Linked DNA regions of Oryctolagus cuniculus. The protein of the gene in region 1 interacts with the protein of each later gene in a biochemical or structural test. Links are inferred from orthologs where the notes say so. Each region holds a gene or a part of one and is shown in the gene's direction. Other genes may lie near its edges.

Region 1 (5,932 bases):
CTGTAGCCACTACATGTGCTTTAAAGCTGGAGACTGGCTTAGTAGGGCTGCAGTGGTTATGTTTACTGACTCCAGGCCTGGGTTCTAGGTCTGAGTGGAACTTATTCCTGGGGGTTGTAGACACAGTTGGCAAAGAGGAGGTGAGGAGTTTGGTGCTCCTGGGTGCCTCCGTTGCTGATTGACGCTGAGAGCAGAGCCTGCTACCAGGGCTCCTCGTCCTGCTTCCGGCCCCTTCTCCAGCCCCCCTGCCCTTGCAGGCTGTGTCCTGGGGTGGCTGGGGCGGCTGCTCTCCCCACCTCTCCTGACATTCTGTCCTCAGCCAGGCTGGGGAAAGCATCCTGTCCCTAAACCACAGCAGCTCATTCGAGGAAGGAAGGCTTCCTCTAGCGCTGGTCTTGAATGGTGTCTTTTTACCCATCCCCTCACACGCCCCCACTTTAATTCCCTCTCAGTGATAAAATGTTGACTAGAAAACCTGAAAGGAATGGAGAATCAGAAAAACAAAACAAAAAAAGCCATAATCCCTGTGCTGAGCTCTGCTGTGTCACGCCTGTCATGTCATTTATCTGTTACACAGCTCCATCATTTCTTAAGCATCTTCAACCTGGTGGATGTTTTAATTACAAGTGAGAGCATACCATGTAACCCACCTGCGCTCCCTGTCCGTGTTGCATCCTGGGTTGTTAAAAGCCTTCAAGTATTTATGAACTGTAATTTCTTGAACCACTTCTCTCGCAGTAGACTCAGACTGTTTCTGGTTTTGTGTGTCCGTGAACCACTGCCTGTATTAAGTAGCTCATGGTCGATTTTGCCAGAGAGAGCGAGCCTAGGGAGGCAGAGCTGGCGAGGGGAGGGCCGGAGTATTTACAGCATGTATTTTTTGGTCTTTGGAATTTTGAACCGTGTCTTACCCATTCAAAACAAGGAAATAAAACGTCAGACACGTGAACATGCATCATAAATAGTGAAGACGCCAAATAATGTTAGTTTTTAATTAGCATAGTAAGATAAATGCTGATGTTAAGAAATGTCAAAATCTTCCCTAATCAGCTTTCAGCGGCAACTGACCGGATTTGCTCACTTGAAGAAGAGCAGCAGCAGTTAAGAGAACAAAATGAATTGATCCGTGAAAGAAGTGAGAAGAGTGTGGAGGTGAGAGCCTGGCCTCGCAGCCAGGCGGCCTGTCTTTCTCTCAGATACACCCGGTGCCAGTCTTGAGCTCAGTAGCCCTTGAGGGATTGGTTCCTGGGTCCCTGGGGATACCAAAATCTGTACATGGTCCCGTCCTTGTATACAGTGGCATAGCAAAGGCATGGAACCAAGGAAATCCTTATCTACTCTAAGTCGGCTGTAGGGATGGGCCTTTGCCCTCGCCTTTAGGATGCCCACAGCCCACGTTGCATTCCCTAGGTTTAATTCCTGGCTCTGGCTCCTGACTGCAGCTTCCTGCTAATGCAGTAATGGTTCAGTTGACTTGGCTTTCTTCCTTGCACATGAGAGAGCAGGACTGAGTTCCCAGTGCCCATATTTGGCCCCAGCGGGGGGCCATTTCAGATATTTGGGGAGTGGACGGGAGCCAGCTCTGTGAATCTGCATCTCAATAAATAAATAAATAATGTTTTAAAATCATCTCTAGGTTACTTATAATACCTTATATAATTAAATGTATGTGAGTGGTTGTTAAGTTGTACTATTTAGAGAATAATGACAAGTAAATTATGCATATTCATTTGTTTTCCCTGAATGTTTTCAATTTGTGGTTGGTTGAATCCACAAATGTAAAACCTGTGCAGACACAGCAGGTCAGCTGTAGTACAGTACTGACTCAGTGCTCATAACATGTGAGGGGCCTAGCCCACGTCCCTCTTGGTCTATGTGGACGCCTCCACTCTGGACCTCTGCAAGCCACACTTCCTGTTCACTTTTCAACATCTGCTCACATGCAGACTCCTGTACCACCACCCTCGGCACGGTGGTGGGCCTAGGCATCCCCTCTCCCATGTTCCCGTAGCTCTTTTACCTCCCTCCGGTACAGAACCCGGTTACTGTTTGTAGAATTCCTGGCTTGCAGCTAAGTCTCAGCATGTCTGAGTTCCCTCTAAATCCTCCCAGGGCTAGATCAAAGTACGGTCAGTAAACACTAAGTGACCCATTAGGAGAAGGCCTTTCCCACTAAGGACTATTATTCTGTCATAAAGAACATCAGCTCTAAGTGACTGTGAACGTGACCAGGACCTTTCAAGCATCTCTTGGCTGCTCTCATCCTTTATCTCCAAGTTCAAATATTGTCAAGATTTTATATCTCTGTCATGCTTAAAAATAGAAATTATCTCTCTTTTTAAAAAATGTTGGTCTGTTTTTAAAATACTTTGTAGCTAGCTTTTGGAAGCAAACGGTTGCTCTGGGTATTGTTTGATACAGATGACAAAACAAGATACCAGAGTGGAGCTGGAGACCTACAAGCAGACCCGGCAAGGCCTGGATGAAATGTACAGCGACGTGTGGAAGCAGCTCAAGGAGGAGAAGCGGATCCGACTGGTGAGCGGAGGTGGCGGGTCTGGGGGGCGCTGCGGGAGCCCGCGGCCCTGTGCCGTGGGGAGGCGGGAGCTGCCCATTCTCCGTGGGAAGCCCTGTGTGTTTACGGCTCAGTGCTGCGTTGTCACTCAGACACCTTTTCCCCCATTCTGCAGTCCTGTTTTCAGGGGTTGCCTTGACCAGACTCGTGGTTTCTGTGACAGAACTGTTCCCTCAGTCCGAGCCCTAGGTCCGCGTATTTCCACGCACTGTGTGTCTGCGACCAAGGTTCTTTACTACACATACTTCTCACACCTGCATGGTGCGGGAAGTGTGTCCTGAGCTGTCCAGGACAAACGGTTGCACTCTGGTGCCATCACCTAGCAACCGTCCCAGAAGTTCTACCATCGCGAAACAGCCAGTTGCTGCCAGCACCGAAGCCCACGACAGACATCCTTGTACACCGTGGGGAGAATGTGGGTGCTGGAGCTCTAGGCAGCCAGTGCCACTGAGCAGCTCTGTCAGCTTGACCATGGACTGTGCCATCTAACTGTGCTACAGACTCTTGTCCATCTCCCCAGCTGTCCTGACTTGTGGTTTGTCTTTGAGACGTTGCCCACCATACAACCTCAAGTAATACCCTGCTGTGGTTTAACATCTTCCTTGTAAATATCCTCTTAAGGAACTAGAAAAAGAACTGGAATTACAAATAGGAATGAAAACGGAGATGGAAATTGCAATGAAGTTACTGGAGAAGGATACCCACGAGAAGCAGGACACCCTCGTCGCCCTCCGCCAGCAACTGGAAGAAGTCAAAGCAATTAATTTACAGATGTTTCACAAAGTTCAGGTGGGAGCTGGCTCCGTGTCTTCCCTGCTGCTTTCTATAGCCTTTAAAAAAAGAAAAGATTTATTTTGAAAATGTTAGAGAGAAAGGAAGAGACAGACATCTTCCATCCACTGGTTCACTCCCCAGATGGCCACAGTGGCTAAGGCTGGGCCAGGCCGAAGCCAGGAGCTAGGAGTTTCATCTGGGTCTTCCACATGGGTGCAGGGGTTCCAAGCACTTGGGCCATCTTGCACTGTCTTTCTCTGGCCGTTAGCAGGGAACTGGATCAGAAGTGGAGGAGCCGGAACTGGAATCGGCACCTGTATGGTATGCCAGCATCGCAGGCAGCGGCTTTACCTGCTATGCCACAGTGCCTGCCCCTCTACAGTCCTGCTTCACTCTTCCTGCCACGTGAGTGGCCCAGCACATCTGTGCACCTCTAGTATGTCAGGCCTGGTCTCGGCCCTCTGGCATGTCATGAGTGAAAGACACTCACGGCATCAAAACTGGTGACGCTTCCTTACCCAGAGGCCACTCGGGGCACCATCCTGCGTCCTTCTCAAGCTTGTCCTTGAAGTTCTGCTTCCTGTTTCATTCCCAAAACATTCCCAAAATGCTGCATTTTCCATGGACGTAGGCTGACTCTCACCAAAGATGGCATGAGGGCAGACAGTGTAATAAACCGGGTTCAGTTTGACTTGACTTGAATGATAATCAGTATTATACCAGCAACAAAGAAAATTTAAATACCACAAGGGGGAAAGGAGGAGCAGGTTTCCCCTCATGACAAATCGTCTACGTGAAGTGCTCCTGGTTTCCTCTGCTTGGAGCCCGTATGTAAACGTGCTGTTAGTTAGGGTAAGCTACGCCGCCGTTGTGACTTAGCAGACCGGCTACAGAAGGGAAGCCTGCGTCTCCGTGACTGAGTAGTTGCACGGAAGTACTCAGTGTCACTCCTCACAGCCATTCAGCTACCTAGGCAGCTCTCGCTCTCCCATTCTTCCCACTGGAGAGGGAGAAACACAGGAGTCCAGAGCCAGAGCGTGCTCCCAGCGGCGCAGTGAGAGAGGGGTCGCACACACCACTTCCCATCCCCATCCGTCCCACGGGCAGTAGTTCCTCACCTAACTCCTGCGACAATGCACTTGCCTCAGTTATAGTCTCTGGACAGTTCTCCAGCCTGGTCTTGTTTTTACCTTTGTTTGAAAAGCAGGGAGGGCCGGCACCGCGGCTCACTAGGCTAATCCTCTGCCTGCAGCGCCGGCACACCGAATTCTAGTCCCGGTTGGGGCGCCAGTTCTGTCCCGGCTGCTCCTCTTCCAGTCCAGCTCTCTGCTGTGGCCAGGGAGTGCAGTGGAGGATGGCCCAAGTGCTTGGGCCCTGCACCCGCATGGGAGACCAGCAGGAAGCACCTGGCTCCTGGCTTCAGATCGGCGCAGCACACTGGCCACAACACACCGGCCACTGAGGGGTGAACCAACGGAAAAGGAAGACCTTTCTCTCTCTCTCTCTCTCACTGTCTAACTCTGCCTGTCAAAAAATAAAAAGAAAAGCAGGGAGAGAGAGAGATTTCTCATCTACTGGTTCACTTCCCACATGCCCCTGTTAGCTGAGGCTGAGCTAGTCCACAGCCAGAGGCAGCAACTCAGTCCCTGTCTCCCATGTGGTTTACTGGAGCCATCACCTGCTGCCGCCCAGGGTGTGCATTAGCAGGAAAACGGGAGTCTGCAGTGGAGTGAGGCTCCGAACCCAGACACTCTGATATGGGAAGTGGGTGTCCTAACTGATTTCCCCTGGGCCAACTGCTTGCCCCCGGTCTGTTTTCTCAGCTCAGCGGTTTTTGGAAATAGGTTGTTTAGTTGGCAGATATGAGGTGGTTTTGAAGCTATTCTCTACTGTAGTGTATTCTATTATAGTGTATCTCCTTAAGGTCGGTTGCTACATCCTTTCATTGTAAGCGCCCAGGAATAGAGAGCTCCCTCCTGGGCACTTGGTGTCTGGTCTGGCTAAAGGCCTGGACTCAGAGAGTCGTACAGGCGTGGACGGGAACAATCACGCCCCCGCGAGCTTTCTACCTGCAGCCCATTGCTTCCTCTTCCTGGGCCTCCATCTGTCCTAGGGAGGTGAGGTGTCCTAGGGTGAGGCTGACAGCGCCTCCCTGGAGAATCCTGCAGGGGCTTAGTTGCATGGGCCTGGCAGCTGGGGACAGTTGGGGACCTGACTCAAGGCCCTTGTCAAGGAGCAGCAAAGGTCGTACCTTCCTCTTTGCCTTTCTTTCTGTTGGCAGCTGGGAGCTGTCGCTCCCCCTCTTTGCGGAGGAACGACACTAGACCCTGCGCTGTTCTTTTATCTGCTCGGCCCTTCCCGGGTTAGCTGCCGTTCCCTCATTCATGGAGGAATGACGCCGTCCAGGGTTAGCTGCCGGCCCCTCCACCTCCGTGGAGGGGCGGCACCCCCTGCCGCTTTCCCCGCTTCCGTGGAAGAGCGGCACACCGCCGGCTGGCTCTCTCGGGGGCTGCTCAGATGTTCCTCAGGTGTTCCTTCAGATGTTCCTGGTGCATGTTGTCTCTCTCCTCCTTTATAGTCCTC
Region 2 (5,121 bases), on another chromosome or scaffold:
TTTGCCCTTTGTAATCCTCAGAAGGAAAACCCAGAAAATCCTTTCTTTAAGGTCCTGCACAAGCGGTTAGGTTTTCTGTAGAGTTGCTTTGGCTTTCTGTGTAGAAGCTGTGTGCTTTCTCATGTTGTCAATGTCTTCTGTACCTCTGTGTTGCTAGCATGTAATTTTATGTCTCTCCTTTCAGGAGATAGGATGCCCAGTATAGAAATTCATAAGGAATTTGGAAAGGAAGCAGTATTTCTTGTTTTGAGTCCCGTGCCATAATGACCCTGTACTATTGTTAACTTTACCAGGCTTTTAAAAAAATTGATTACTTCTTTAATTGTCATTTCTTTATTTTTTAAAAGACTAGTAGACTATAATATGAACATTCTTTCTCTTCTTAGTGGACATTTCTACATGCTAGTTGAAGAGTATTCACTTGTACTACCTAACTGATCTCCTTGCAAAAGGTTTACATTCAGATCAAAATGGTTGTTTGGTTAATTGGACAAAAATGGAAGAGCCTTTTTTTTTTTTTTTTTTTTTTTTTTGACAGGCAGAGTGGACAGTGAGAGAGCGAGACAGAGAAAAAGGTCTTCCTTTGCCGTTGGTTCACCCTCCAATGGCTGCCGTGGCTGGCGCGCTGTGGCCGGCGCACCGCGCTGATCCGATGGCAGGAGCCAGGTACTTATCCTGGTCTCCCATGGGGTGCAAGGCCCAAGTACTGCACTCCCGGGCCATGGCAGAGAGCTGGCCTGGAAGAGGGGCACCCGGGACAGAATCCGGCGCCCCGACCGGGACTAGAACCCGGTGTGCCGGCGCCGCAAGGTGGAGGATTAGCATAGTGAACCGTGGCGCCGGCCGAGCCATTTTTTCATATGAAAAAAAAAACATTAATGGGAAAGTACCTTTTAGTTGAAGCTATCCTTTCCTAAAGTGTCTATATCTGGATTCCTGTATCCGGAAGGGGAAGTATTACCAGTTGTCAAAACAAGTACATGTGCTGGATGTCTCTATGTAAAGTGTACAGCCTACCCCCAGCCCCTAGTAAATTCATAAGGAGTTGGAGAGGAGGGAAGTATCTGAGTGTTTCCCAAGGTTACTTGCTTTTTCCTTAGAACTTTGCAGAGCTTCCCTTAACTTTAGCCTGTCTTCCCTGTAGAGATGATTCCAGAGTAGACACAGGTATGTGTTATTTTGTCTTGGATTTGAACTCATCCTATAAGGTCCCCATCTTCTACCCCTAGTAGTTTCCCTTTCCCTGATACACGCAGGCATTTGTTACCAGTTGCTACAAACTTGGTCCTGCCTATGGAAGCTGTGGGGTAGCACAGCATTTCTCTGAGGCCACCATTTAGGTTTCTGCCGAACTAGGAAAAGTCCTCCTACCACCAGCTTAGTAAGAGGCCTTTAGGATGTTGCTGTGCCTTTGAGCTGTCATTTCCTCCCCAGTACTTTAGGTAGTTCTTAAAATTTTCGGAGCTTCCCAGAACCTTTTGAAAATCGGGTGGAACCCATGAACCTTTTCCCCCGGGGGATGTCCATGTTTATAAAGCATTTTGCACTTCACTTCAGGGCAGTCACAGATCCCCTGGAGCTTGGTCATAGACCCCTAGTAATCTTCCTTAGATAAGTCATACTTTTTGGCCTATATAAGATGAAGCTTTATTATCTGGCCCCCAGACGGTTTTTGAATGGCTTGCTAAGTAAGGATGATTTTTATGTTTTTAAAGAATAAAAACCCCAAAAATACAGCCAAGAAGGATATGCAAAGAGACTGTGGGGCCCACCAACCTGAAAAATAGACTCTGCTCTTTACAGAAAGTTTGTCACCTCTTTGCATGGAGGGTTGTCTAGGTTCTTCTTAGTACTTAATGACTTTATGGTTCTGTAGTCCTTCCTGGTGGGTAATTGCTTTCAAAAAGTTAATGGAATAAACTGATGGATCTAAAAAAATTTTTTGCATTAAAATATTTAATTTTTAATTCCATTTTCCCTTGAAGTTTTTGAAGTACCCCCAGACTTGTTTTACATTTAAAAAGGCCCAGGTGGTTTTCTGTCCAGAATTTTAGATTTCACAATTTGAATGATTGACTTAAATGGTTGCTTTGTTTTAAGATGTCTTTCTTTTGATCACAAATTAGGTAATAATTCTCATAGGAAATAAAGCAGACTTGGAAGCACAGAGAGATGTTACATATGAAGAAGCCAAACAGTTTGCTGAAGAAAACGGTGGGTTTCCTTTAAGACTTAATGGTCACATTTGGGAGAATTGCTAAGGAAAGGTGGGATTTTGTTATTGCAGATTGACAGTTTTTTTAAAAAATGGAAAAAATCTCAAGAATGAAGAAATGTATTTCTGTGAGATTCATATCAGGAGTAGTACAATTAATGACAGATAATGATGCTGCCCCCTTATACTCCCTCTTTCATAAAATGCCGTGTTAGTGAGAGTATTGATAGCTGATAGATAGGCAGCTTCTGGTCAGATGTTACTGAAGAGAATGCCCTGGTGAGTTTGAAGTGTCCTCATTATAGTCTGAATTTTATTTTTAGGCTTATTGTTCCTTGAAGCAAGTGCAAAAACGTAAGTATGGCTAAAATACAGATGTTTCAGTTATATTTTAGCTTCTGAGTGTAAAACCATGTTTATCAAAGTATATAATATAATTGTTCATTTACTGTATAATACATAAATGTGCAGTGCTGTGGCAAGAAAAATATTGAGCAGACATTTCTACTTCCTGTTTCGTATTTCAAAATAATACTGAGTTTTTCTACTTGTAATATTGGACCTTGATTATGCCATTGGTAAAACCAGGTTAATCAGTGAGACCATGTTTACATTCCAGAAGTGTTTGACTTTCACAACCGAGCTGGTTTGGCATCTCAGACCCAAGCTTGGCCAACTTGCTGGTAGTATTTTACCTCAGAGATCCCGTTGAAAAGCATGACTTAGGGAAATACTTAGTGTCTGATCAAAAGCATGATGAATTGTTTTTCCATGTCAGCTGTGGAACTCCAGTTCTACATTATTCCAGTCATTGATCTTCAGTTATCAGACCTCCGATTCCTTGCAGTGGTAGTGAGAGGCTTGGCTTTTTTTGTTTAGCATTATCTGTAGTGTGATCTCTAAGAGAACTGAAGTGTGCACAGTGCTCAGTGTGAACATGTCACCATTACATACAAACAGCACAGTTCACGTTTGGCTGATCAGATCCTGCAGATCCCAGAATCCTGTTCAGCATGTACAGATTCCATTTCTCTAATCTCAGCTGTCCTGTCATCTAGTAACAAATAGTATTGTAATGACTAGAGCACATACGCCTATCCAGCTAGAGGTCTGCAGAATAGCTCTTAGAACGATGCTTATGTGTTTTCCACAGGAAATATTTTCCCATGTTGTTCTCTTAGCTCAGGCTTCTGGTAATCTCTTACCAGACAGTGGCTAAATTGAAGACACCATGGCACTTGACTAAAGGTTAGCAAAAGGGCAGTGTATAAAGTCTTATTTTAGTAGAAAGCAGTGGTTCTCGAATAAAGTTGTCACTTGCCTCTTAGGGGAGAGAATGTAGAAGATGCTTTCCTGGAGGCTGCCAAGAAAATCTATCAGAACATTCAGGACGGAAGCCTGGATCTGAATGCTGCCGAGTCCGGTGTACAACACAAACCCTCAGCCCCGCAGGGAGGCCGGCTAACCAGTGAGCCCCAACCCCAGAGAGAAGGCTGTGGCTGCTAGTGACCTCTTTGCTCTGGCCTCTCATTTGACCTTTCACCTCTGTCTGTTGGAAGCAGTACTTTTTACTGCCTCGTTGTCTTCTGTACATCTTACTGGGTTTAATTAAAAAACAAAACAAAACTCTGTTGTAAAAACAGTTTAACACAATACTAAACTGCTAAACAACTAGATGTAATCAGGTTATCAAAGGCAAGTAGAGTAATAAATCTCTCCTGCATGGTGAATCTAGACTTTTTCCCCCTTGATTGTCCTTGTGATAGCTCTGTCACCAATATGATTTAAACTGAGCACTGATGCTGGACTTCAATGATTTCGACCCTCCCTTTTTGGCAAGGCTTCGTCTTACTGTATGGTTTAATTTGATGATATCTTAAGCCTTCTCCCCATCTTGAACTGTTCAAGTATGTCTGGTGTAACCAATAAGTTTATCGCTGTGAAGTGACTGCTGATGGCAGAGAAGGGGTTCAGTAACTGCTTCTGTTTTGTTTTTGTTGGATAAATTCCCTGTTGTGTGGGTGGTATTTTTCTTGATGAGGTTTGCTTCTGTCTTAGCCTTGCACGGGGAAAAATATTCATTTATCTTTTTCTCTTGTGCTTAATTAATAGCTTTATCCTTTTTTTACATTATTTTATCCTTTCTCTTTAACAGAAAGTAAATATGTATAAAATTCGAAGGAACCGAACTAACAATACGTTCTTTGTATATTATTTTAATGAAGAAAATAAATTGATTACTGGCATTGGAACAGTATAAAATTACCAGTTTGTACAGTATGACCTACATGTGACCATGTTACTCCCTCCATTTCACGTAAGAAAATAGACAAAACTGCAGTTCACAAGTAGTACTGGCTCCACCCCTTGGTGCTGGCAGTGTTGGGGACATTATGCTGGAAAGAGCTCCTAGCATCAAAGGATTAACACTAGCCAATTCTGTTCCATCTTTGCACTGTGGCTTCTCTGCTGATTTTCTTAACTATTCTTGTGCAATCGACAATGTGCTAACCTGCTTTTCTCTTTTTGTAAACATTTTGCATTATAGGCTGCATTCTTGCCTTACTGTATAGAAAAAGAACAAAGGCTGGGTTTATTATTGCACATTTTAAGCTTTTATACCTGTATCTTCTTGGAATGGTCCGATTCTGAACCAGACAGGCAGAACCGCAGGTCTGCTGTTAAGGGATTTTAATTGTGCATTTTTAACACTACAGTGAAGTAATTTAAAATATCCCTTGTGTTCATAGTATAAGGGACTGTTTTATGTCATGTCGGCATAGATTGTTTTGTAAAAGGGTAAGTGTTTCCTAAGGGTGTTTCAGTGTTTGTGCTGATACCGAGTTACTACTTTACACTAGGTGTTTTGGCCACTGAAAGAATCCTGTATTGCCAGAGAAACAATC
Region 3 (5,932 bases), on another chromosome or scaffold:
TTAGTATGACTTAGCAAGGCACATCTGAAGCAAGTGCGGGAAATAGCTCAAGCGGTGAGTCAAGAGGTGAAGTTTGTGTAGTTTATTCTGCTGCTCCCCTTATCAACCGAGAGCTTGTTGGTGCGTCCGCTGAATGACAGGGACCGAGCCTGTGTTAGTCACAGAACCCGTCCTCCCAAATTCAGCAGGCACCGTGCACCAGCCAGTCCACCTTTCTTTCCAAGTATACCAGGACTTTGCATTGTAGCGGCTCTGAAAATGCCCAGAGGAAATTAGGCCAGGGACCAGACTTGGGGGGGCAGTCTGTCCACCTCGGCCTCCCCTGGAGGGGCCTCCTCTGGAGTATCCTCCCCTGAATCCTCCCCACCCATGGTGGCGTGAGAGGCGGCACTTCATTTCTCATGGCCGTGTCGTAATGAGGATGCCCCTTTCGCCACAGGTGTTGCCTGGTAGCTTATTCTAGCGGGTTCTCTGCCAGCTGTGTGTGAGACAGACTGACAGTCTGCATACCATTGGGTCTCCCACACCTCAGGAAGCAGCGTACGATTGCCAAGGGCAGCCCCATTCCCAGGACAATTCCATTGTATTCTGTAGGTATAAAATGCCAACTAGTCAGTAGCTGTGGTGTGAGCGTAGCTTATCCCGCCACCATCACAGGAGACTCTCAGAGACAGTGCATGCCAGTGGGGCTCCATGAAACCCTTACCCTGCCTGTCTCCCACACAGACCGTTGTCCTACAGCACGAAAACTCAGCACCTGTAGATGCACAGGGTGGTGTTTTGGGGGTCTGTTTGGAGAGTTTGGGGCCTTCATTTCTTTCCTTCTTTTCTCATAATCTTGGTATCTATCGTGTTTCCTTGTAGGCTTCAGTACTTTTCCTTCCGTTTATGTTTTATTGCTTTGGAATATTATCTATTCAGATAGTTGAAACCGTCATCACCCCATTATTTGCCAAATGCCCTGCCTGTCAGTGGGCTTAGAGTCCACTGACAGGGCAGTGGGCGTCGGTGAGTTCCCTAACGGTAACAGTTGGGTCTGGACGTGGCACGGCCACTTCCAGGCCGAGGCTTTGAGGTGTGATGTGTTTAAAGAGTCTGAGGTTAGGGACTGCGTGTGCTCTGTTTAAACCATGAATGCGTCTTGCCTGCCGACAGCTGGAGAAAGGAACGGCTGTCGTAAATTCCATTTTCCAGTGATTTCATTGTTACTTATATAAATCCTTAAGCCTGTTAATGTTAATGCTCTAAAGTTAAATATCACTGTCTTTGTTTTTCTTTTTTAGTCAAAGATGACTCAAATCATACAATAGGAGTGGAATTTGGTTCAAAGATAATAAATGTTGGTGGTAAATATGTAAAGTTACAGATATGGGATACTGCAGGACAAGAACGATTCAGGTAGCTGTTTCTCTAATTTAATAAAAATACTTGAAAATTGGATTTTAAATCACTAATTATTTTCTCTCAGTGTATGGGGTCTCACCCCACCGATACCCTCTTCTCTGCCCCCTCCCACACTGCACAGCCCCTCCCCGCCACGTGCACGTGTGTGCACACGCACACACACCCACACACTCTCTCACATTGATTTCAGAAATGTCCCTTCTGGAAGCTGTCGCAGACGAGACAGCGGGAATTCAGCTGAGCTCTGTGCAGCACTGGTTTGCTGAGGAGTGCAGCAGAATCTCCGAGTGACTGCCTGGTGGCTCAAAGGCAGACCACCCTCGGGAGGACGTGGTGCTCTGCATTGTGTAGAGTGCTCTTCGATGACAGGCGAGGCAAGGCAGCAGCTCAGGCTATTGTCTGCATTCCCTTCCACAGAGGACTCTTTCTGAAACCTCTTGTGACAATTCTGTTTGTTTATTAGCCAGACGTAGTCCCATGGTTGATACCCATCCCACAAGACAGCCTCTCTTTTGCTGTGCTACAGGCGTGACGCACGTCTAGAATGAGGACTTCGGCTCACTGCACGATGAGGCCACGGCTTCCTGTTCTGCAGTCAGTAAACCAAGAAAATCGATTCATGTTTTGGTTGTTTTTTGCACAGACACACTGAGACAAAATAGAGCAGATAGCATAGTTTCAAGATTCAGAGGGGTGAAACTCACCCCCACTGCAAACGGTTCATCCAAGCCACATTGGATAATATTAAATGCTTCACAAACACTGTCCCGGTCTTTAACCACCAGCTGCCTCTGGAAGCACTGATTACCGTGGTAGATGCCATCCCGTCATCCCCTTCTCAGAACCCCACCCAAACCACTGAGTCCCAGAAAAGGCCAGGACAGGAAGCGCTGGGCTCCACGAAGAAGCTGAAGTGTTTGTACCATGCAAGGTGGGAGGCGCAGTCTCTGAGTTCACACAGGGTCTCAGCTTGACCTGCTGGGCTAGCGGGGTGTCCAGCTCCCCCAGTACCTGGGGACAAATTCAGCCTCAAAAACTATAATTTTTCCAAGAGTTGCAAGTCCTTTTTATCTTTTTATTGAGCGACAAACTGAGTGAGGCAAAGATAGTTCCTGAATTAATTGGTTTAATGCAAGGCACACAAAAGCAAAATTAGCAAAAAGAATGTGTGAAAAGATAGGGAAAAGAAAAGGATTGGAGCACCTGTGCCTCCTCCGAGGAAATTCTCCAGGTGGTCTGGAGGGAGAAGCCCCTGACCCACACTGTCTCGTCTGCATGTGGGCACACGGCTGTCCATGTGGCTCTCCGTGTGTGTGTGTGTGGTGCTGGTGCGATTGGGACAGATCTTCACACAGTCCGTGTCAAGTGTGAGAAATAGGACTCAGCTGACAGGCGAGTGTGCAGGGGCACCCAGGGGTGGCGGGTAGATAGATAGGTGTGCGGATGACTTGCCTTAGACACTGGGTAGGTGAGGTGGTGCTGCCCCTTCCCAGGCCTGGGCCAGAGTGGGCTAGAGAGAGAGAGTTGTGTCTCACAGATGGCAAGTGTGACGTAGAGAGCCACAGCTGGATCTTACGGAAGTAGTCTGAGGTACAGAGAAAATTTTTCACTCAATGGTTAGTAGAATAGGAAACCCAGGCCCCAGCCAGACTGAGCCGGGACTGGGCTGGGAGCACAGAAATGCCCACTGGCTTCCGCTCCTCGGAGGCACCTAGCTGGGCGCCCATCAGGCTGGGCTGGAGAAGCAGCAGGGAAGAAAACTCCCGAGAAATCGGGGCGTGGGGAGGGCTGACCGTGGACAGGAGCTGCAAGGCTGTTCTGCTTTTTTCTTTTTTAGATGGGAAGTGGCAGAGCCGGTCTTGTTTCACTCCAGCAGAGAGAGAGGGGTGCAGGCACTGAGGCGGGTGAAGCAGTGTTCTCTTTTAGTCACGGGAAGGGGAATGAAGTTGAGCCCAGGGCAACGGGCACTGGATGCCGGGTTCCCTTCTTACCCCAGGAAGAGGTGGAGGGGGCTGCCTTCCACCTGCTGGCACCTCCCCCTCCTCCACTCAGAGCCGGCCCTTGATTGGACCGTGCTCCTTGTCCCGCCCCCCATTCCAACCCCTGTCATTTCTGGGACAGGATTTCAGACTGAGTAACTCCTCGCACGCACATGCAGGGCTCTCTGAGTCGGTCCTGTTTGAACTGTGGTTTTAGAAAACAGAAGTAGGGTTTGTTTTTCTTTTTCCCCCACGGGAGAGGCCCAGCTGGTTGAAAGTGAAACCGTGTGATTGTTTCAGGTCGGTGACGAGGAGCTACTACAGAGGCGCGGCCGGGGCTCTGCTGGTCTACGACATCACCAGGTAATGACGCCCGCCATCCTCAGGAGGAGGCCGGTCCTGGCAAGGTTCCCCCCGTGCAGTGTGGCCGGCATCCAGGGAGCCCCTTCCCTTTGGGACCAGCCCCTTCCCTTTGGGACCAGCCCCTCCCGCTGCTTCACCACGTCTGCAAGGTGCTGGATAGGGAGAGCTGCGCTTCCTGTTTCATGGTGTTTTGTGCCATGACACTAGGACACTTGGCATGCAGCTGTCTGGGTGGCCAGTCACCGCAAGTGACCTGACAGAGAGGGGAGACTCAGCCTTGGGCTCAGGGTGCTTGGCTCCTGGTCCCAGTGCCACTCTCCAGCTGTGTGAACGCCACAGGCAAGGCACTTCAGCTATGTGGATCTCAGCTTCCTTGTCCAAAATGGGGCGGTGAGAGCCTTGTGAGCCACTGGGGTTTAGGGGAGGTTTAAATTAGATAATAGTACTCACGTGGTAGCTGCTAGCCACGTAGGGTAATTCAATGGAAAATTTATTCAGTTCCCTGGTGGCACTGGCCACATTCCTTGGCCTCAGAAGCCACATGTGGCTGGTCACTATGCATCCAACTGTGCTGACGCTAGAGCATTCCTGTCCCTGAAGACATCCCATCCCACAACACTGGTCTCTGTGTTTGCAAGCATTGCCTTCGAAGTACAAGGAACCTAAAGGCTGTCATTTGGGAGTCCCTTTGTTAGGAACCTGTGGGGTGGGATGGTGTCACCCAGCCACTCCCCGCTCCGGTACGCTCTGAGGGAGGCGGGCAGAGTGGGACAGACCTGGTCGAGTCCTGGACTTGCCATTGGCCGCCGTGTGATTTTGGACAACCCTACCAAGCTGAGATGAAATCTTGCTGTGCCTTGCACATGCTAAGTGCTCAGTGAGTGTCTGTAAACCAAAGGGAAGAACTTGTGTCCTCTCCCAGCGTGACTGGGCAGACCAAACCAGCAGATGCCCAAGGTGCCGGGTCAAAGTGATAGAGAGATGGCACCTACCCGGCGCGTTCAGGTTGTCTGAGTTACCATCAAGGGATTGTTGCCATTTCTCTGCAATGTTGAAGAGTGGCGTGAGCGGTGAGAGTGACTGGAAAGAGTTGCTAGTTTCATAAAATACTTGTATTATTCTCGCAATCTTATGTTACGCAGCCGAGAAACCTACAATGCGCTTACTAATTGGTTAACAGATGCCAGAATGCTAGCGAGCCAGAGCATCGTGATCATCCTGTGCGGGAACAAGAGGGACCTGGATGCCGAGCGCGAGGTCACCTTCCTGGAAGCCTCCAGGTTCGCCCAGGAAAATGGCAAGTGACGCTTTTACCTCTCCTGGCCTTTCCAGCACTGGCTTTGGTGATGTGCACCTCTTTGAGTCTAAGACATCTCTCTGCATTTCCAGATTAAATGGAAATACTTTAGGACATGTAGAATTTCTGATTGTTTTCACTGCACATTTAGACTGCATTTCACGTATTTCCTGTATATTTATTGCCTTCTGCCTACAAAAGTTACCGTAATGGTAAAAGCAAATGACCAGCATTCGGTAATGACTTCTCAGTCTCTAGGACCTTGAAGTGTGAGAGGTCTTGGGTTATGGTGAAATTTATAGCAATGATTTCTGAAGGCCCTAACCAGATTATGTCCCTTTTTTTCTCTTTTACATAGTTTGCTAAATTGGCAAAATGTTAGTCATAACTAGAAAGGGAAATAGAAGAAATACATGGCTTATTGGTTTCACTTACACTAAATTTAGGTCATTGATTATAAGTGATCTTGAGACATCTCTGAATTTCCATATAGAATACTTGAGAATGTCACGTAACAATAACGGTTGCTTATGGATAACGGAATGGTAAAATTCAGACATTTTAAATAACTTGAATTTGGAGAACCTATCAAGAACTAGAAGAGTATTCTGATACTCATGTTTCAGTGAACTCCAGGACCACCTGGTCATAGTGTGTTCTACTGAGAAAATACCTGTGTGAGAAACTCAGAAGCCATAAAGGACCTCTTTAGAGACACAGACGCTTGGAGCGTTGAAGCTCCAAAGGGATTTAGCTGTGATGTAAGCGAGCTCGTTTTTACCGGTGAGGACACAGGAAGCTGCAGGGCTGTGGTGTGCCCGAGAGCGCCAGCAGGGCAGGACTTTGTGCTGGGACGGTGGCACAGAGGCTGGCACTCCTACAAGACCTC

What was found. The genes of interacting proteins can lie anywhere in the genome.
Region 2: the proteins of RUFY1 (region 1) and RAB14 form a complex in vitro, tested with the Homo sapiens proteins (2 studies listed by BioGRID). The link is inferred for Oryctolagus cuniculus from reciprocal best matches to the Homo sapiens genes RUFY1 and RAB14.
Region 3: the proteins of RUFY1 (region 1) and RAB4A form a complex in vitro, tested with the Homo sapiens proteins (2 studies listed by BioGRID). The link is inferred for Oryctolagus cuniculus from reciprocal best matches to the Homo sapiens genes RUFY1 and RAB4A.

Annotation. Positions count from the first base shown.
Region 1 is NC_091437.1:67,898,856-67,904,787, reverse strand, and holds part of RUFY1 (RUN and FYVE domain-containing protein 1), read left to right. Parts: intron 1-1,050; coding exon 1,051-1,152; intron 1,153-2,421; coding exon 2,422-2,538; intron 2,539-3,196; coding exon 3,197-3,364; intron 3,365-5,932. UniProt on the Homo sapiens protein: Activating adapter involved in cargo sorting from early/recycling endosomes. Regulates retrieval of proteins from endosomes to the trans-Golgi network through interaction with the dynein-dynactin complex.
Region 2 is NC_091432.1:225,174,404-225,179,524, reverse strand, and holds part of RAB14 (ras-related protein Rab-14), read left to right. Parts: intron 1-2,126; coding exon 2,127-2,214; intron 2,215-2,538; coding exon 2,539-2,569; intron 2,570-3,543; coding exon 3,544-3,721; 3' UTR 3,722-5,121.
Region 3 is NC_091444.1:90,078,615-90,084,546, forward strand, and holds part of RAB4A (ras-related protein Rab-4A), read left to right. Parts: intron 1-1,283; coding exon 1,284-1,398; intron 1,399-3,683; coding exon 3,684-3,746; intron 3,747-4,888; coding exon 4,889-5,043; intron 5,044-5,932. UniProt on the Homo sapiens protein: The small GTPases Rab are key regulators of intracellular membrane trafficking, from the formation of transport vesicles to their fusion with membranes.